Linked DNA regions of Schizosaccharomyces pombe. Changing the gene in region 1 together with any one later gene gives a genetic interaction. Each region holds a gene or a part of one and is shown on either strand. Other genes may lie near its edges. The genes, in order: aut12, sec72, tcg1 and vps1.

Region 1 (4,244 bases):
AGTTACTTCGGGGGAAGAATCACGAAGCAAAGCCATAAACATTGAAGGGTCTCCATTCTGTGAAAAACACTTTAGTAATGATAAAACTATAATCAGTTCATACCAGTAAGATCCCATTCACTGCCGTTATAAAATCGTAATAAGACTCAATTCTGGCATTATAGGCTTTCGAATCGTTTTCAACCTTTAATACTCTGAAACCACATGATTCATCTGATTCTCGATGAATACCAGCTAAAGCTTCTGATTTTTCTTTAATAAAGTTCTTTAAACCACCAAACATTTCGATTGTTTAGTACTTAAATAGGGTTGGTGGTGATTTAGGTAATGGCGCGGTTGACTCGCTATGATATTAAGTTCATACAGTCGGAAATTTATGTGAGTAAAATGATGCTGATATTAATAAATTAAAACAAAAAAAGGAAAAAGAAAAATTAATAAAGCTGTTGGAAGCAATCACCGCTCTTTTAAATATTTTACTGTCAAAACATCATAAAAAATAAAAAGAAATGAATTTCATTAAACTTTACATGCTCATTATCAAAACGAAAGGTTTGTTTGTATAAATAATCGATTCTCCTCCCTTCGTATCCATCTCAAAATCTTATTAACATTTGCAATAAGCAGTTGACTGCTAGTGGTAGCGTTAGCAATACAATGAAAGTCGAACGATGCAGTTGACCACGTGAATAGAAGCAAAGATTCATGGACAGTCATATTAATTGAGAAAGAATTTTTTTTGTGAAATGCCTGGTCGTGTAAGCTAGCATAAATAGCATAAAGAGTTCTAAAAACATAGTTAGCAAAGCAAATGAGCCCAAAGATAGCGATCGTATTGAAATTGTAAAGAAAAATAGATCATTGTATACGTACCTAGTATTGAAATTGGGAGTTGAAAATGAATAGCCAGGAGTATAAAACTGTGAGTATTTCTTTGAATAAAACAAGTAATGTGAAATACAAGGAGATCCGGGATTCCTTGGCGTAGTTCTATCCATTTCTTCACAATAAATGAGCTTTTTCAACCATCCATGATCCTGAATTTCCTGAGCAACTTTGCATTTCACTGATTGCATTTCAAAAAAGACACCACTTTCGCTGCTCCCCATTATCAAGACAGTGTCCTTACATAGGAAATAGCTATAAATGTAAATATAAGCATCTGGATTTAGAGTAGGAAAACAAACAGGCACCCAATGCTCCATTGAATCATTAAAAGACTGTGTGCGGAAGAGTGATAGGAAAAGTAAATAGAGATCATTAGCATGTAATAAAAGCTTCTTCGCCTTAACCATACAAACAAGCCGACCTCGTATAGCTATAAAAGTAAACAGCAGAGATTTGGGTGTTTCTCTCAACAGCAGTTGCGACAGCTGATCACGAAAAGAGGAACGTAAAGGAAGAGGAGATATGGCATTCAATGTGGGGACTAATTCATAATCATTAAGTTGATCACATAGTTCTTTTAGGAACTGCTCGTTGCTTCCAATAAGTCTTCTCAAATCAAAATTTGGGCGGGAGTTTAAGGTCAGCTGCATAGCTTTCGCAGTAACCCCAGTAAGTATTTGGCAATATAAGAGGTTTAACTCACTGAGTAAATATGCTGCGCTTAAAGTTGTCGATGGCGATACGCCAACAAGATAAAGAGGATTTTTGGAGAGAACAACGATAACATTGGAAAAGGTAGAAAAGCTTGTTAGCTCTTCTTTCGACACTTCGAAAGAGCTAATAATTGCTTGTAACGCGCCAACGGTTGATGGCTCAATTGAATCATCAACAATGTTACTAAACACGGGCTTCCCTGATGAAGAGAATATCAAATATGTGCGCTTTTGTTTTGCCAAATCAAAAGATATCAACGAAAGTAGTTTTATAATTTCATCAACAGCCGTATTGTTACTACTGCTCGATACTGAAGTGCTTACATTAAGCGGAGAGGAATTATCATGCAATATATCAGAAAGTAATTGTTCAACGTTTTCCACGTGGCTTCGCAATTCTGGTGTAGACCTGCTTACTTCTTGATCATCCTCTGACACCGAAGGCGCTGCCATTAGAACATTACCAGGGTTTAACAGCAGTGATCCACATTCCGACTCATGAGATCTATGAACGTTATCATTTTCCACTTCCTCCTTGATTGATGAATGCTCAGATGTTGGTTCCATCAACTGGCTGTTTTCATTAGTGGGATGGATTGAATAAGGAGGACTGTAGCTGTTGTAATAATGCTAACCTCGCTTCATTCACTCATTTACGGTTAAAATTAAGGGAAAAGAAGGCGTTTTAAATATTTTGCTTTTTATTGAATAAAAAATAATTATTGATTCTTTAAATAAATGTTGAAACTCAACTTTGCGGTGCAATCATAAAGATATTGTGCCGAAGATGATTTCGTACCTAGTTGTATAGGTAATTCAAAAGGGAAGATTGGAATGGCTGAGTCTTCGGCAAAGAATTTCATATTACAACTAAATGGCATTCAAGATACGTTTACATGGAAGTCAATTGTATACAGAGAACAGTACTGAATTTAAAATAAAACTAATAATTACACGTTCTATGAAATGTACGCGCTCTAAACTAAGAATACTCTTTGGTTAAGAAATTAATGTTAAAAAGCGCTTAGAATATAGCGCTAGATGTATTACTACAAACTGTTTATATTGAGTTATTTAGGAGTGATCACTGATCTATCGTTTCAACTAAAATGCTGCTTATCCTTGACTTCTCAAGGTCTAAGGATGGTATTCACATTTAAAGATCTAGAAACTTGTTGGCTAACTTTTCGAGATGGTTCCATCTAATATTGAATAGAATTGAGATTTGCGCATTGGTTCTTTCAATATCTATATTGCTCCAAAACAAAAACATTAGTCTAGTACTTGTAAGAAAACACAAGTCATACAGGGAATCGAAAATAAAAAATCAGTTGAAATCTTTAATCGACGCTTCATATTTCATTTTGAGCAATAATAAAACACTCGATTAAGCCAACCATCATCTAGTTTGTTGAACATGCTCAGTAGTCGGTATTAACTTCATAGAGACTTGAATAGATATAGGAAATCTTTTAATTTTTTGATATTTTATATTTGAGAGTAATAGAATAGTGTTTTATATAGCAATGCTTAAAAGCTGTCTCATTATTTTCTTTTGCATGAATATGAACGTAAGAGAATGAAATATATATATTATAAAAATATTTGATTATAATATTATTTACGATCCAAAACTAGAAATATACAGTCGCTGGTACATGCCTGGTAAGCTACGGCTTACGTTGTTGCGACGAGCTTCTTGTTCGCTGTAAGCTACTTTCCACTCAACCACCGCAACTCTGGGTTTATCGTACACTATCTGGAAATGGTAATATCATGTGTAAAAACCGTACTAACGATATAGTCTTTAAATCCTCATCAGATTTTTAACGAAAGTGGCATCCAAGAGCGGGGTGAAAATGCCCGTCTTTCATCGTTTGTGGGTGCAATTGCTGTGGGCGATTTGGTAAAAAGCACTTTAGGTCCTAAGGGAATGGTAAGGTCAAATCTACATAGAAAAAATTTTTAATTAACGATTTATAGGACAAAATTTTACAATCAAACTCTTCGGGTGATATTGTTGTGACAAATGACGGTGCTACCATTCTTAAGTCTATAGCTTTGGATAATGCAGCTGCTAAAGTTTTAGTGAATATCTCAAAAGTCCAAGATGATGAAGTTGGCGACGGTACTACCAGTGTGTGTGTCTTCGCTGCTGAACTTCTTCGTCAAGCAGAAATTATGGTCAATGCAAAAATACATCCTCAAGTGATTATCGATGGTTATCGTATTGCTACTAAAACTGCTATCGATGCTCTTCGTGCTTCCTCTATTGATAATTCTAGTGATCCTGCTAAATTTCGTAGTGACCTCGAGAATATTGCCAGAACTACTCTGTCTTCCAAAATCTTATCTCAGAATAAAAACCATTTTGCTCAGCTGGCTGTTGATGCAGTGCTTCGCTTGAAAGGTAGCACGAACTTGGATAACATTCAAATTATTAAGATCCTTGGTGGTAAACTTGATGACTCCTTCCTTGATGAGGGATTTATTCTCAATAAAACTATTGGTGTTAACTGTCCCAAAGTTATGGAAAATGCTAACATTTTAATTGCTAATACGGCTATGGATACGGATAAAGTGAAAGTTTTTGGTGCTAGGGTTCGTGTAGACACAACTGGCAAGCTTGCCGAACTTGAACGC
Region 2 (8,047 bases), 3.7 Mb from region 1:
TTTAAGTTCTGATTTTTCTTTACCCAATATTCAAGACGTTTTCCAGGGTACTAAATTAATCATTGGACTGGTATACAACATGTGTTATAAGTTAGTCGCATTTTACCAGATACATGTTAATGGCGGCATAAGTAGATACTTTTCTAACTTTTAATCAACTGCATTTAGCTTATATTTCTTGATGTCCTATGCACCTTTAAAATCTTTCAACAAATGATTACTATTTTTAAATTGAACAACCCTGATTGCGTAGAAGGCGTGCATGTTTTTTTAGCGATTAAAATCCGGGGTCTTACTAGTGTTAATCCTTAATTCTTTTAGAACAATTGATAAGGTAAAGGGAAGCAAGATTAAATTAAAGAGACCGCAAATTGAAATTACTGTGTTTTTAAGCCTAAGCAATACTTACTAGTCGTAAGTAATAAGTCAGTACCGAAATTGAGCGCATTACGAAATACAAATTAAGGATAAAAATTAACTGTTTACTAATGTTTAACGAACTAGTAATTTTCGTTAAATTCATGAAAAAATATATCAAAAAAAAGCTGGAAGTTTTCAAACATATGTTTTACGGCTGATTTTATTCAACCTTCTATTTTGTAGAACATAAAGAAAATGCCATTAATAATTGTTTCAGGTTATCCATCTTCAGGGAAAACAACGAGGTCAAATGAACTTAAAAAGGCTTTAGAAGATCGAATTCATCAAAATATCGACAATACAAAGGATTATCGGGTGATAATAATAAACGATGAGAGTTTAAACATTGAAAAAGAAACATATCGAGGTATGTTTAAATAGTTATCTTTAATGATTTAGTTTTTGGAAATTAGCCAATTCATTTTTGGCTTCAGATTGTGCCCAGCTACTCTAGATGATGGGAGAATCCGTATATGCAATTTTTCGTAATTCTGGTAACTAATTTGTCTTAGAGTCCAAGAACGAAAAGGCCGCTCGTGGCCTTCTCTATTCTGCTGTTCAGCGTGAACTTTCAAAATCTACATTCGTAATTTGCGATGCCTTGAATTACATAAAAGGATTTCGATACCAGTTATATTGTGAATCAAAGTCTATGTACACAACTCATTGTGTGATTCATGTTGCTGTTCCTCAAGATTTATGTCGAAAATTCAATAGTAACAAGGAACAGCCGTATCCTGACGATGTTCTTGAGCAATTAATGTTTCGTTATGAAGAACCGAATGGAATGACACGATGGGATTCCCCTTTATTTACTGTCTTGCACGATGATGCTTCTTGTCCTATCGATGACATCTGGTCAGTTCTTATTCATAACAAAAATGTCAAGCCTAACCAAGCTACAATGGTAAAACCTCCAGCTGAAGTCAACTATTTATATGAATTAGATAAAACTACTCAAGACGTAATCATGCTTATACTGGATAATTCCAACGATACCTCCTTGATTACTGTACCAGGGAGCAAACTTCAAATCGCATTACCCAGTGTTACAGTATCTCTTCCTTTACTTCAAAGATTGCGCCGTCAATTTATCCAAATTAACCGGCAACAATCATATAATACCAATGTTCTCAAGGAAATGTTTGTCGAATTTTTAAATGGTCAATTTGAAACCTTGGACTGATATCCTTTTCTTAAACTTTATGATATTTTTTTTTGGGATTTTTAAGGGGACGAAAAAATGTAGCCTAATATTAATACTTAACTTTGTTTGTTTCTTTTTTTTAGAACATGTTTAAAATGGTAGAAATCGTACATTTTGTTTAATTCCTTAATCCTTTTACAGTTTAAGGAATGCTGTCCTGTAAAAAAGAAATAAGAAAACGTTCACGGTCAATATCGACAATAAAAGTTTCAGTAAAACAACGAATATTGTATAAATCTAGTTATAATGTTTACTATTTAATCCATACTGTAATAAAACAATTTATTATAAGTCTCGCTCGTTTGCTTTATATAAGTAGCACATTGAACCGAGATCTAACGTTCGACACATTAAGGCCGAAAACACTTAGCAAAGACATACTCCGCCTTATATTTCATTGCTAAAAGTTGGCTCGTCTAGACGGCAATTGGCTTGAACGTGACCGATGCCAAAATGCAGGATGCCTCTGAACCTGTGATCAATATGCCTGCTCTGCCTATGAACTCCGTGAATGAGCAACATGACAGACACGAAGATCTTCCAGAAGTTGGAACAACATCAGTTACTAAAATTATTAATGATTCTGACAACGAAGATGATGAAAATGGTATGGATCTCGGTCGTGTTGCTTCTGAAAGTTTAGAAGGCGATGCTGTGGTAAGTATTGATATAAATACAGAAGATTCGTCGTTGTCGCCAGCGAAACAAGAAAACGAAAAGAGTCCCGAAGGAATCGAGCAGAAATATCAAGAAGAAGACTTGAAAGACGACAAAAAATCCAATGAAACTATCGCGACGCCTGTACCTGACGCTGCATCGAGGGCCAGTTTGGAAAAGCAAAAATCAGGTTTAACCAATTTGGAAAAATCCACTCATGTAGTGCTTATAAAGTGCATCGAGCAGCTTATACAAATAAAAGTTTGTATGAAGAACGAGAAGATGAAGAATTTAATGGAGCAACTAAAACCTCTTCTACAAACCGAATGTCAGTTTGACAAATTTTTGATAGTAGAGTTATTTCAGTACTGCTTTGAATCCAGTCAAGATGAAGTTATGAACATTTCTTTAGACACTATTTCTAAACTTGCTTCATTCGCCTATTTTTCTTCAAAAGATAAAACACCTGCCTCATTTGGGCCCCCTAAATCCCTTCTACAGTGTATGGTTGATATGGTATGCGATAGTATCAATGATGAAGTTGTTGATGGAAATCTGCAATTGAATGTTGTAAAAGCTTTATCTGCCTTTATCTTATGTTCTGAGCAGGATAGTATGCTTCATGGAGCGATATTATTGAATTCTGTTCGTAAACTCTTTAATGTCTTTCTTCTCGGGGATAGTGATACTATACAGTCAGTTGCTCAAGCTTCTTTGACTCAGGCTGTCACTGTAGTCTATGAACGATTACGCGCGAGCCACACTCAGTCGAACTCTACATCTGCTTTACCGGAAGAAGATGCATCGGTGACGGAAAATTGGGTTCACGATGAGGATGAGCCTGACAAGAAAATTACTCTTCATTCTATGGCATCTGCTGGCACTTCATCATTAGATCATGTTAAAGTTGACGCAGATGACCCAGCTGTCACCAGTGTTGAGAATTCCTCTATCCAAGACGCGTTTTTAGTGTTCCGATCCATGTGTCGACTTGCTGTCAGACAAACCTCGCCTGATAAAGTCAGTAATATCAGATCTCAAGCTATGCGCGCGAAATTAATTAGTCTCCATCTTATATATCGCATTTTAGAAAAAAATAGTGACTTATTCATGGATCCTACTCTCCAATTTCGTGGTATCCCAGCACTTAAAGGAATGACCCTTGTTCATGCCTCCCGTCAATATATTTGCCTAGTATTATCTCGCAATGCTGTAAGTCCTGTTCCCCAGGTGTTTGAAGTCTGTTGTGACATTTTTTATCTTATGGTTTTTTCTTTGCGTGCCCACTTCAAACAGGAAATTGAAGTGTTTTTTCGAGAAGTTTATTTTCCGATGTTAGACCTCAAGAACACCTCCTACAATCAGAAGCTCCATACCTTGTTAATCATCCAGAGAATCTGTCTTAATCCAAGAGCTCTTGTAGAGTTGTATATAAATTACGATTGTGATCGTTCTTCCACTACCAACGTTTTCGAACAATTGCTGTTTTCAATCTCAAAAGTTACTACCAATGGTCCTTCGGAAACGATATCCGAAGATATTGAAGAAATTCTTCCTTCTTTAGAATCTTCTGAACGGAGTAGTACCCCTTTTCTAAATACGAACTCTGCTTCGTTAAAGTCCGAAGTGGTTCAACTTACCACATTTAGCGATTTTCAATTGAAGCTAAAGACTTTGCAATGCGTCCTTGACATTTTGCAATCTTTATCAAATTGGGCCGAAAGTGGTCTTTATTTATCTCGCCGAGGTGTGTCAACGGATGAGCAAGGTTTTGTTGGAGATTATGATGCGCTTTCCAGGTCTGATACTCCTGTGACGAATCCTTATTATAACGGAAAACAATCGTTTGAAGCAAATTCCCATAGCAGTAGTTCTATCGCACTTGCAGATCCTTCACAATTTGAATCAAACAAACAACGAAAGAAGCTATTACGGACTTGTATAAACAAGTTCAATTACAAACCTACTAGAGGTCTTAAGATGCTTTCAGAAAATGAATATGTTGACATAAATGATCCTAAAGCTATCGCTGAATTTCTGTTTCGTGCTGATGGTATTGACAAAACTACTTTAGGAGATTACTTAGGAGAAGGGGATGAGAAAAGTATTTCCGTGATGCATGAATTTATTGATTGTTTATCTTTTATAAATTTAAAGTTTGTAGACGCTTTACGTCGTCTATTGCAGTGTTTCAGACTACCCGGTGAAGCCCAAAAAATTGATCGAATTATGCTGAAATTTTCCGAAAGGTATATGAAGGAGAATCCGTCTGCATTCGCTAATGCTGATACTGCCTACATTCTTGCTTATTCTATAATATTGCTTAATACTGATTTGCATTCTCCTCGTATTAAAAACAAAATGACAAAAGAAGACTTCATTAAAAATAATCGTGGAATTAATGACGGTGCTGATTTAGATGAAGACTATCTTGGTTTTGTATATGATGACATTCTTAAAAATGAAATTGCTATGAAAGATGATCAAGAACTCGCAGCGATTGCTCCTTTAATGAATAATTTCAGCACATCTAGTGGATTCACCACATTTACTTCTAATGGACGAGATCTGCAAAGAGTAGCTTGTATTCAAGCTTCGGAGGAAATGGCTAATAAGGCTACAAGTGTGCTAAAAAAGCTATTGTATCAACAGAAACATGGATCACAAAAAACAAATGTTTATTACAATGCTACTCATTTTGAACATATAGGTCCCATGCTTGAGGCTACTTGGATGCCTATACTTGCTGCTCTTTCAAACCCTTTACAAAATTCTGATTATGTTAATGAACTTAATATGTGTCTTGATGGATTTCAGCTTGTTGTCCGTATAGCTTGTCTCTTTGACCTTGACCTTATTCGAGACGCTTTTATAAAAACTCTGACTAATTTTACTAATCTGCATTCTACCAGTGAAATCAAATTACGTAATACTATGGTTATAAAAACATTACTGAGAATTGCATCTACCGAAGGTAATAATTTGAAAGATTCTTGGAAAGATATCCTTACTATTATAAGTCAACTAGAACGCGTGCAACTGATTGGTGTTGGTGTCGATGAAACAGAAGTACCTGATGTTATAAATGCACGTGTTCGTCGAAAGAATGTGAACATTGGTTCTTCAAACTCAATTCGGCATGTTAGTGGAAGTACTTCTCGTTCGACTAGAACTCGCTCACTATCTAAACCTTTATCCCCAGAGGCAGTTTCAGAACTAATGTCCACTGAGGTAGTGTTGAGCATTGATAGAATATTTACCCAAACATCTTCTCTTTCTGGCTCTGCGATAGTATCATTCTTTAAAGCATTATGTGAAGTTTCTTGGGATGAAATAACATCTTCTAGTGATTTGGAGCAGCCAAGGCTATATAGTCTACAAAAGCTGGTTGAGATATCCTATTATAACATGCAAAGGATTAGAGTGGAATGGTCATCAATTTGGAACGTTTTGGGTAGATTCTTCAACATGGTGGGTAGTGATGAGAATAGGCATGTTGCTGTTTTTGCATTGGATTCCCTGAGGCAGCTTTCTATGCATTTTCTCGAAATTGAGGAGTTGTCTCTCTTTTCCTTTCAGAAAGAATTCCTTAAGCCATTTGAGTACGTTATGGCTTCCGATACCGTAGTAGAAGTCAAAGAACTTGTTTTACAATGTGTTAAGCAAATGATTCAAGCTAAAATTTCCAAAATAAAATCTGGATGGAAAACTTTGTTTGGCGTTTTTACATTTGCGGCTAAGGCTAGAAGCGAAATATTAATTTCTATGACTTTTGATACCCTTGTCAATCTTTTTTCCGAGCATTATGATACTTTAATGCAGCAAAATTGTTTGATAGATATGTTGATATCCTTCACTGAATTATGCAAAAATGGAACAAACCAGAAAATCTCTTTACAAAGTTTGGAAATTATTAGAGAAGTTTATTCAAGTCTTTCAACTATGATAAAGGAAGGACTTAGTTCCAAGCCTTCAGTAAATGAGACATTTTCTAAATATGTTTTCCCAGTTTTATTTGCATATTATGATATAATAATGTCAGCTGAAGACTTGGAAGTAAGGTCAAGAGCTCTTCAAAACTTATTTTATATATTCTTAGAAGAGTCTGATGATTTCACTGAAGAAACTTGGGAAGTTGTTTCACGAAAATTTATATTCCCGATATTCTCAATATTTGGACCAGAAGCGGATGAAGCGACTGTTATGTTAAGGGATGAGGAGATCAGGACTTGGCAATCTACTACTCTTGTTGAAGCGTTACGAAGTCTCGTCACTTTGTTAACACGCCGTTTTGACAAACTTCACAATTTGCTAAAAGGTTATCTATGGTTATTTAGCAATTGCATTTGTAGAGATAATATTACACTTTCTCGCATAGGAACAAATTGTATGCAGCAGCTACTTTCTGGAAATGCGTATAGGTTTGAAGTTAAAGATTGGAATCTGGTCGCTGATATGTTTATTGAGTTATTCAAGGAAACCACCCCTCATCAGCTTCTTCTTCTAGAAACATTTTCCAATGGGCAAGGAGCCCCTGTTTACTCCGAAAATGAAAATACTCAATTGAGCCATAAGCGAGGCGGTTCTCTACCGGAAACTTCTCGTTCAATTTCGACATCCTCAATTTCCCCTGAGAAACAGATGGAGTTCCGTTCAATGATTCGAAAATGTATTCTTCAACTACTTTTAATAAGTATTGTTGCTGAATTGTTAGATAACGAGGAAGTTTTTAATCATATCCCCCATGAACATGTATTGAAAATAACTGTGGCTATTTACGACTCATGGCAGTTTGCTCGCAAGTTTAATGAAGACAAATCTTTACGTATTACGCTTTTGAACGTTGGATTTATGAAGCAACTCCCTAATTTATTGAGACAAGAAACGGCTAGTGCATTGTTGTACATCACTTTGCTCTTCCGCTTATTAAAAACCAGAGACCCTTTAGGTAAAACAGAAACGGATCAGAAAATTCATAAACTTCTTTTTCCGGTTTGTGCCGAAATGCTGGATATGTATGCTTCCTTGGTTGTTGAGAAACATACGCGTAACCATGCTGCATGGCAGCCTGTCATTGCTACAATCCTGGACAGTATACTGAATCTTCCTTTAGAATTATTTTCCGAAAACATTCACACTCTTTACTTTTCTTGTTGTTCTATGATTGCAAAGGAGAACCTTGATGATCAACTTAGAGAACTACTTAAAAATTACTTTAATCGTGTGGGTCACATTCTATTAAACCTGAATGCCCAACAGGAATAAATAAAGTGATTTTCAATTAATTTCAATAAATTAGCTTCTAGTAAAACAAATAATCCTTTTATAATTTTAGATAACTTATTGGTAAACTTTCTTTTTTATTCTAAAAAATTGCCCTTCTTTTAAATAAGTTTTTTTCAAAACTTGAACAACCTCTTAATATTCTGCATGTAAGCTAATCAGTATTTGTAGTAATCCAACGCCAGAAGGAAGATGCTACTGCCACACACACCAGAGACCTTTTTTTTAACGATCAATTAAAGATTTTTCGTGAAATATCCTCTTCTATTATTCATTTCATGTCCCTGCGGCCTTTAAATATAGAATAGCTTAAAGTAAAGACGAGTACATTATGAGTTGAAGCATCAAGGTACAAATGGTAAATTTACTTTACAGAAAACATATTAAACTCACAAAATTTTGCCATGACAAAATAATAAAGGGAGCCAGTGATTTGGAAGATATAATCAGGAAGCATGAAGTTACAGCGTATCACAGTTG
Region 3 (4,092 bases), on another chromosome or scaffold:
TCTTCTCTTAAAAATATAGCCGTTCAGCCCATCATGGATGCGATCATTGATTATCTTCCTAGTCCTGTAGAATTTTATGAAAAAAATGCTTCAAAAGAAACGAGTAGTGACAAAATAATCTCCCTGGATAAACGTCCTTTGCTTGCAAAGATTTTCAAGGTTATACATCATGCTTCTAGGGGAATTCTCACATATGTCAGAGTCAATGAAGGGACTTTAAGCCGAGGAATGATGATGTTTAATCCAAGAACTAAAAAGTCAGAAAGAGCAATTCGTTTATACAATGTATTCGCTGACCAGACTCAAGAAGTTGATTGCATTTCCGCTGGAAACATAGGAGTGATTAGTGGGATTAAACAATTTCATACCGGAGATATCATTATTAATAAAGAGAACTCAAAAAATTTTCATGAGTACCTTTCTGGAAATCAAAGTGTTATCAGTATTCCTGAACCTGTTTGCATTGCTTCTATAGAACCTTATTCGCTAAAAGATGAACCCGCACTTTTAGAAGCATTGGCTAACATGAATCGTGAAGATCCTTCATTTAGATATACCCAAGATTTAGAGAATGGACAACTATTGATACAAGGGATGGGCATTATGCATTTACAAGTTTCTTATGAAAGACTGGTGTCTGAATTTGGAGCTCGAGCATCTTTAGGAAAAGTTCAAGTTGGTTATCGTGAAACTTTGATTGATGTAAGCTTTAATTCAGTTACCTTAAGCACAGAAAATAAAGAGAATCTCATTATTAATGTTTACTTAATCCCTATTTCTGATGAAGGAGATGAAACCTTGAAAAAATATTTTTCTGAAGGTGAGATCCAAAAAGTTCGAAGTAAAGGGCAAGAAGATGGAGTTTTGTTTTATGGCTGGAAGCCGGAAAACTCGTGTACTTTACCGGATCATCTCTCTTTCCAACGTATTCAAGAAAACATCTACTTTGGAATAGTTGCAGGTCTATCGCATGGGCCTTTACATGGGTTTCCTCTCACGAATTTGCAGTCATTTTGTACCATTTCTTCTTTTCTATCTAATGACTTTCCGTTGTCACTTTTGACACAAGCATCGATGAAAGCTACCAAAAATGCAGTATTTTCATTATACAAGAGAAGTCCCAAAAGTTTCAGAATATTAGAACCTTATATGGATGTTACAATTACAACTCCTGAAGAATATGTTGGTATTGTTTCTAAAGATCTTGTAGGCAAGCGGGGAGCCACGATCAAAGAAATTACAGAGATTGGAAAGAATGCTGCTTCGAAAGACTCGCAGATAGCGATAGGAATATTAGGTGAAAGATATCTACCAGCTGATGAACCTAGTTCTGTTAAAGCAAACAATGCTTCTTCTCTACTACAGAGTTCATCTGTCATTAAATGTATTCGTGCTCAGGTGCCTTTGGAGCAGATTCTCGACTACAACAGTGTTATAAGCTCTTTAACAAAAGGTAATGCAAAATTTCTTATGTCTCATCCTATGGAATCTCAAACTCCCAAGCTGGTCAATTACGGTTCTTCCTTTCATCCTATGTCTATGCAGAGACAAAAACGAATATTTCCTTAAGGTCAGAAATGTGGGTTAATGGGTAAAATAAATACATAGAAAAAAAGATATAATTCTATTTTTCTATAAAAATCATCCTTATCATTAAAAAGCTGTATGTTTGACATTCTTTTTCTATACGTTTCGGTGTATGCATACACACACGTCTGCAACGGAGTTGTGTACATGTTGTCCCCAACGTCAGATGGAACCTACCGTTAGCATATATCGACTATAATTACTACAAAACGCCTAGACGAATTTAATGATGTCCGCTGAGGAAACTGTAACCCAAAACGCTCCTAATACTGTTCAAGATCAAGTTGAAGCATCTGTAGATGCTGCTGTACATGCATCTGCAGAACAATCTAACACACCTGCTCAACAAGCGGACGACTTTCGTGTTTTTGTAGGGCGTTTAAGTACGTCTACCAAAAAGAGTGAAATCCGTTCATTGTTTGAAACGGTTGGTACTGTGTATGTAAACTATTACTGGTTTTAGCAATTTCGAGTTAGAACAAAATTTTCTTATGTTTAAGCGCTAAAGCTAAAGCTCTCTCTATTAAAATCAGTGCATAATTTGGAGTTGTTGAAAATTTACTTTTTAGAAGTCATACTTTATATTTTTCACAAAAACGATTTTAAAACGGAGCTATGCGAGCTTATATTTACTCGAAACTATCTGTGCTACTTTAATTATATTTGATCATCTACTAATGCTTTTTAGTCGTAAAGTAACTATTCCTTTTCGTCGTGTTCGCCGTGGTACCCGTCTCGTACCTTCTGGCATTGCTTTTGTTACATTCAACAATCAGGAGGATGTTGACAAAGCTATAGAGACATTGAATGGTAAAACATTGGATGATCGCGAGATTGTTGTTCAAAAAGCTCGTCCTGTCCAAGAGCAACCTATAAAAGATAGGAAAAAGGTAAGTATACTTTAGTTCGCAAAGCTTTTATCAATATCATTCTGACACATTAGTCAAAAAATAAAAATGGTGAAGAACCTGAAACTTCAACTTCTGTCGAAAATGCTGAATCTGCTAAGGGCTCCAGTGATGAAAATGAAGCTAATACCGCAACAGCTCCTTCAAGTAATGAAGCAAATGGTGTCGATAAGAAACAAAATGAGATCAAAGGAAAGGGTGGGTCTGGTAAAAACAAGGCTAAGCCTTTGCCTCCCAACTCTATTTATGTTTCAGGCCTCTCCGTTACTTTAACAAATGAAGGCCTTAAAGAAATGTTCGATGCTTACAATCCTACTCGTGCTCGTATTGCTGTTCGTTCCCTTCCTCCTTATATTATTCGCCGTATAAAATTACGTGGTGAGCAACGTCGTGGTCGTGGTTTTGGATTTGTGTCTTTTGCTAATGCTGAGGATCAATCCAGAGCTATTGAGGAAATGAATGGAAAGCAAGTAGGTGACCTTACTTTGGTTGTTAAAAGTGCTGTCTTCCGTGAAGATAAGCAAAATGATGAAAATGAAAAAAATGAAAACGAACCTATTGAGGCTTCAGAATCTGCTCCCACTAACGTGTCTGATTCTACTGAGCCCAAAGCATCTGAGGTTGACTCAGAAGAAAAATCAGGCGTTACTGCTAGTGCTATAACTGCCTAAAAGTTAAAATATGATTTGTGATTATTCCTGGCTCTTCGTTCCTTTTATAATGAGCCTCGCCATTATACTTATATATGTCCCGAATACCCTCATGTTTCCGCACGTCACGTTCTCTCCCTTAGCATGGAACCCATGCATGTTCCTGGTAAAAAGTTGCAGCTTTGTAGACTAGACTATATTCATTGCTTGGAGTTCTGTGCCTTATATATTTTCCGTTTGTATCAAAAATACATTCGGGCCTATTGTTAAAAATAGTTTTGCATCTTTGTACATTTGAAACGTTAAAGTGCTTCAAGTAAAAATATACATTTTCTTCCAAAATTGTGAACGTTGTAATAATTGATTCACGCAAAATATAAGTAACTAGTTAAACGAATGTTATAGGCTTCTTAAGATTTAGAATCTATTGTGCTGCAATGTCTAAAACACAGGTGAGTATTAAATAACTTAAGTGCTTTGAGTCACATAAAAAGAGTCAGAGGATGCATTGTGAAGCATAGTTATTCAAAGAGAGCAGAAGTCTTTAATAACTTTAGCAATATAATAGAAATCTGATTCTTCTAAATACACCGCACCGCTAAGTCTAGTGTAAAATTTTCCTTTAAATTCCATAAATCGAAGGAATGTATTATATTTAGGCCAAAATACTTTCTGTGTTTCTATGGAGGGAATGTTGCGTAAGGGAACTTCGACGTTTACCATTGCAACTGGGTATGGAGGTTTGATAAAGGAAGTGCCCAGTTCTTTAGAAATAATTTCGGCTCCCTTTAAAGCTATTTCATGACAATATTGTTGAATCTTTTCTTCCCCTCCAATGGATTTTCGAAACTTAATAGCCTCACCAACAGCTATAAACTTAGGTAAATCTTGCTTGAAAGAATTGACAAACCGATTGGTAAGAGTATCTACGGCAATTGATTCCTTTT
Region 4 (5,079 bases), 1.4 Mb from region 1:
CAGTTTAGGTTAGTTTAACCAAGCGCTTATCAAATAAAATTTCAAACATACAGGCTTCAGAATCTACTTCTGATTTAAGGACCCAATGATGCAAAGTAAAATCATCCTTACGGCTTGATATGGAAAAGGGCTGGCGTACCCTACAAATTAGTAAATTCCTTACTGAATACACAAATTTATTTATTTGAGCTCTGATTTACTCACCAATTTTTAGCTTTGTGACTAACTTTTGGTTTTTCCTTAAATTTCTTTTGGTATATTGCTAACGGGGCAGAATTCTCGCCTAGCAATGAATAAAGTTCTCGAGAAATTCCTTCTGGCCTTCTCTCTGTTGGAGTTTTAGATTTCTGCTTATTTCCTATTTCAGGAGGAGGTAATTCAAAGACATCCCGAATGTCAGCACTAGTCATTGTATTTTGAACTGAATTTTCTCATCAGTGTACGAATAAAACGCCGACACTTCAAATGTGGTTTTCTTTTAAAAAACGTTAGACTACAGTATTTATTTAGCATAACACTGCGTACTCAATTGTCCTATTTTTTAAGGAGATTTTAGAGTGCACTTGCAATTTTGTAATTCAGGAAATATGGGAATAAAGTAGTATTGATAGAGTAGTTATTTAATAAAAAAAAATAACCAACTTGAGATAACACCATATCGGCGTTAAATATAATCTAAATGTAACTGAAAAACTTTTATAAAAACTTCATTGAGTCTTCCTAACGCTACATTCGGGAAATCTTTATTTAAAGACACTACAACCCTAGGAAAACATAAGTATCGATTTAACGAAAGTTTCGATTTTAAGCGAGCAACTTCACATGATTGTTCATGTAAAGACAAGAATATATGCGATGAAAAGTGCGTGACGAAAAATAAAAAACAAGGATCTTTAAAGCAATTAAGACATTCATCGATATGAGATCATCTCATAAGGTAACTTAACCTCGTTATTTTAGCAGTTTGTTATCATTATATCATTAAACGTTAGACACAATCTCACTTGCCTGTAGGAGAGATTCTACCATTTGTTCGCATTCTTTACGACGTTGCACTGTCACTTCGCTTTCCTGGAGTAATTTATCGAACGCCTGAGACTTGTAAAGCTGCTCAAGCAACTCGTGCTGAATGTGCTCTTTAGAGTATTTTATCATTTTCAAAGAAATGGATTTAGGTACCATATCGGCCAATGTCCTTTTAACAATGTTGAAATAGGACATAATAAGTAGTTTAATAACTTCAGTATCAGTCTTTTCGCGGTCTGAGAGAGTAGTAGAAGCTCTTAAAACCGGTGGAGGAGGCTCCATAGCTGCAAGTCGCTTTTTATTCTTAGAACCAAAAAAGCTTCCAAAGAAATTCTGTCCCGAAGATGATGAAGTTTCAACTGGAGGAACGGGGTTATTTGTAAGTGCTTTTCCAGTTTTAGGGTCAACGGGTATCGGCTTACTATTCTGACTTTGAACAATCGCCATTGCTTGATGTCCAGATAAAAAGTCTGGATGAACAGTGTTTATATAAGAACCTTCCATGGCAACCATATCCATTACAAGGGTATTAGTGGGTTGCATACATTTTCTAAAGAAACCAATAACAACCTTGTAAAATTCATCTTTCAAAAGAGGATAACGTTTAAATATGGGACGTTGAAGCAATTGATTTAAAATACGGACAAGTTCGTCGTAAATGAGGGAAACACACTTCAAGGAAGGATCCTCCAAACGCTTAATTTGTTGCTTGACAATAACTTCAAATGCAGCAGTACCCATAAATAAACTAGGAGAAGGGCCAGATGAATTGTACAAAATGGTGCGAATATCCGAATCCTTAACTTCATCAAATGGATCAATTGCTTGAATACCATTCGAAAAAATTTCATGAAATACGAACGCAATACGAGCTCCTCCTGAAAGCTCCGTAGCAGAAAGCTCTTCACTACGGCCGTCCACAACTGTGCGATATTCGTTGCAAAAGTCAGTAATTAAATTTAGTACAATACTGGAGTTGTCGCCAACAGGAGTGTCCCCCAAAGAATGTAGTTCGGCCTGATATTTGGCTAAAGCAGCGTTAATACGAACTTTAATTTCGGGAAGGGTGTTCCGAATATGGTGCATCAATATCATATTTAGTTTACGAGCTAGAAATGGAGTACCGCAGTATTGCGCTTTAGAACCATAGGAAGGATGCGTTTCAAAAAAGTTCCTTTCTGCCTCAAGAGCTATACGAATAGACTTCTTCCCTTCGATGTCCTTTTGACCGCGATTTATGACTGGAACATACCCAAGTCTCAATGGAATAACACGTCCAGCTAGAATATCTACCACATCCGTACCTTTATCCATTAAATCAACCTTGGTCAATACACCGATAGTGCGAAGACCTTCGGGGTCAACTTCTCTAGCAAGTTTGAGACCATCTGAGTTTGCCAAATCAGTATTGGCAGCGTTTACAGCCAATATAATGGCATTGTTTTTAGATATATACTTCAAAACCATTTCACGAATTTGCTTTTCAATATCTCGAGGTTGGTCACCAACCGGTACCTTTGTAAGACCAGGTAAATCTACTAGTGTCAGAGTAAGCACATGAGGAGAGTAAATACGAAGATAGATAGGAACCGAAGAAATGCCAACATTCTTTCCTGTTTTTTCTTCTGTTTCTCTAACGATTTCTTCACGAATCTTTTCAAACTCAAAGAACTTTTGTCCGGGAAGATGGAGGAATTCTCCCCATTCAGATGAATTATTCTGGTCCTTTCCATCTGAATCAGTAGTTGTTTCTTCATTTTTTCCACTAGCGCTAGGTCTATTAATTAACTGCAGAACCAAAGGACGCCTTGTTACAATGCCGGTTCCTCTAGGAAGGAAATCTCTCCCAACAATATTTTCTAAAACCGATGATTTACCGCTTGACTGTGACCGTACGACCTAACAATTTATTAGTGAATTTTTCAATCTAAGTTAAAATTCACAACATACAGTAATCTGTGGTAAGTCAATCAAGTTTTGAACGCCAACTGTGGAGAAAGCCTCCTGAAGTTGATTGACAACTTTAATCAATGAGGGATCCATTATCAACTATGGATCCACTAAATAGACAATTTTACGAATGGGCGGTTACAAACCTGATGGTATGTGCTGTGGTAGTGTAGTGTTTACTCGGATATGTCGAATAAAATTAGTACCTCGCTAATCGGATTTCAGTAAGGCTGCTTGAAGGTGGCTTAACAATATCGTGTTGCTAATTGATTTACCAAAAAAGAAACAGTGATGCCCTTGAAACGTTGTTGTCAGACTTTAGACAATAAATCTAATGTTTAACCCTCGATAAGTAATATTAAAGCGATGCATCATTCCATATTTAACGAACGATAATATACTAATATTGCGTTTTACTACGTTGCGTATCACTATATGCCCTGTGTTGGAATAACAGGAAAGATCCTTTTAATGATAATTGCGAAATGCTATTTATCTTAATACAAAGTTACCCATTGATACTTGAGTACTGAAAAAATTAACGGAAACTGCTTTAACCTTGTTTTTCAGTACAATTATAAGCTATTCTGCTGATAAGTAAAAATAGTACCTATTTACGAGAATCTTTATAATATAGTACGCGTTTTGCTGCGTACCGTAATATTGTATATTTCAAATAAAACTACCACCACAGTTTTAAAAATTGGTTACATTACGCGTAGCTGACAGTGCTCAATACGCTAGTTTATTCAAAAACGAGTTTTAGTTCAGTAGGAAAAGGGAATGGACTTTATAGAAACAGCAATTTTTGCTAATTATTCTCTGTTTTGCTGCTGATTAGAAGTCGACAAGTGTGTTCAATTTGCACATGCCATTGGACAAATTTTAGCAATCACCTTAGCGTCAAACAATTTATGCTTTTTGTTGGAAAAAAACCAATAACAATTGGGACCTTTTTAGCAATAAATGGAAGCGAATTTCATAGTGGATAATATCTCTAATTTTTATCAAAGCATATTAATATACCATATGCAAACTTACAAATAGAGAAACATATGAAGTCTTGGTTCTTGACTCCAAAACTAAATAATACTAGCATTCCAAAAGTTAGTTATCAAAATAAATGGTTGTATAACTCGTGGAGTAGTTTGTCAAAATCTTACACATTTTGCTTCGTTTCTTGACACCTCTATCGTATACAAATGCCAAATCAATATCTTTGATATCTTGTAAATAATTTTTTGTCAATAAAATTACAATTTTTACAAATTTGTTACTAAACAGGATGCAAATTTGGGTTAACTATAAAATCCAACTTCTCTGTATTCGGCATACTGTTAGGTTTATACATGAACGGCATACATGTAAAACCCAAATTTTTAAGCAAATGCTACGACGCATAGGTTGCTTCATGCTCTAGCGAGCGTTTAATAAGAGACTGGAAGATTGGTACTCCTCCTAGGATCACTTACTCCATAACCATACCAATGCACTACTTACTCAATGTCTTCAACATAAATTTAGTATACATGTCTTTTTTAAGTCAATAAAACAAAACTGTCTTAATGTGCTCGTTGAAGAAAATTCGACAAATTATTTATTCTTTCAAAGGTTTCGTTAATTAATGTTTCAATCGTTTAAAAGCGGCATACCCTTTATTTATTCTGTGATCCTTAATTAAAAGCAAAGCCTAAAAAGAATTTTTACTTTTTTATTTAAAAATATCACTCGTGAAATGCTATTTGCCAAATTATTGTTAAAACCTGTACAAATTTTGTTTGCTTACGCAAAGGCCAAGAGCAAAGAAATTTCAATTAAAGAGGCTAATCTACTAATATTCCAAGATGAAACTGACAATTTGAGGAAAATTTCTACCCCTAATAAGTTGGCTGTTTCTCTAGCTGGGGGATTGAAAGCACTTCTGAGCTCCAACCAATTGTGCCATGCTTTTCATTACCATAACAAGAAGATCAGACTAGTTGATACATCATTAAATAATTTGCCGGTACCAATCTTACTTCCAAAATTGATTAATTATTTATTAGCTAGAAAATCTCAAAAAAGCGCTGCAGAGTGGGAAGAAATAGAACGTGCACTGTTATC

Evidence for each region.
Region 2: mutations in aut12 (region 1) and sec72 together harm fitness more than expected from each alone (negative genetic interaction), as found in Schizosaccharomyces pombe (one large-scale study listed by BioGRID).
Region 3: mutations in aut12 (region 1) and tcg1 together harm fitness more than expected from each alone (negative genetic interaction), as found in Schizosaccharomyces pombe (one large-scale study listed by BioGRID).
Region 4: mutations in aut12 (region 1) and vps1 together harm fitness more than expected from each alone (negative genetic interaction), as found in Schizosaccharomyces pombe (one large-scale study listed by BioGRID).

What each region holds. Positions count from the first base shown.
Region 1 is NC_003424.3:641,345-645,588, forward strand, and holds aut12 (autophagy associated protein Aut12), read right to left. Parts: upstream 2,195-4,244; 5' UTR 2,169-2,194; coding exon 874-2,168; intron 788-873; coding exon 541-787; 3' UTR 501-540; downstream 1-500. Other genes in the region: grh1 (GRASP family protein), read right to left, coding at 1-57, 104-283; chaperonin-containing T-complex beta subunit Cct2, read left to right, coding at 3,367-3,369, 3,406-3,537, 3,585-4,244.
Region 2 is NC_003424.3:4,386,458-4,394,504, reverse strand, and holds sec72 (Sec7 domain-containing protein sec72), read left to right. Parts: upstream 1-2,011; 5' UTR 2,012-2,080; coding exon 2,081-7,549; 3' UTR 7,550-7,663; downstream 7,664-8,047. Other genes in the region: kti12 (elongator complex-associated protein Kti2), read left to right, coding at 616-787, 933-1,606. UniProt on the Schizosaccharomyces pombe protein: Guanine exchange factor that acts as an activator of arf1 at the trans-Golgi net-work and is thus involved in vesicular budding and traffic between compartments of the Golgi apparatus.
Region 3 is NC_003423.3:213,331-217,422, forward strand, and holds tcg1 (single-stranded telomeric-binding protein Tgc1), read left to right. Parts: upstream 1-1,768; 5' UTR 1,769-1,813; coding exon 1,814-2,025; intron 2,026-2,191; exon of another isoform or gene 2,192-2,275; coding exon 2,276-2,477; exon of another isoform or gene 2,478-2,530; coding exon 2,531-3,166; 3' UTR 3,167-3,571; downstream 3,572-4,092. Other genes in the region: mef2 (mitochondrial translation elongation factor G), read left to right, coding at 1-1,569; ergothioneine biosynthesis methyltransferase Egt2, read right to left, coding at 3,671-4,092. UniProt on the Schizosaccharomyces pombe protein: Binds single-stranded telomeric sequences of the type (TG[1-3])n in vitro. Has a role in meiosis.
Region 4 is NC_003424.3:1,996,274-2,001,352, forward strand, and holds vps1 (dynamin family protein Vps1), read right to left. Parts: upstream 3,143-5,079; 5' UTR 3,070-3,142; coding exon 2,977-3,069; exon of another isoform or gene 2,926-2,976; coding exon 982-2,925; 3' UTR 501-981; downstream 1-500. Other genes in the region: Swr1 complex/NuA4 histone acetyltransferase complex subunit Swc4, read right to left, coding at 52-140, 205-410; poly(A) polymerase Cid16, read left to right, coding at 4,712-5,079.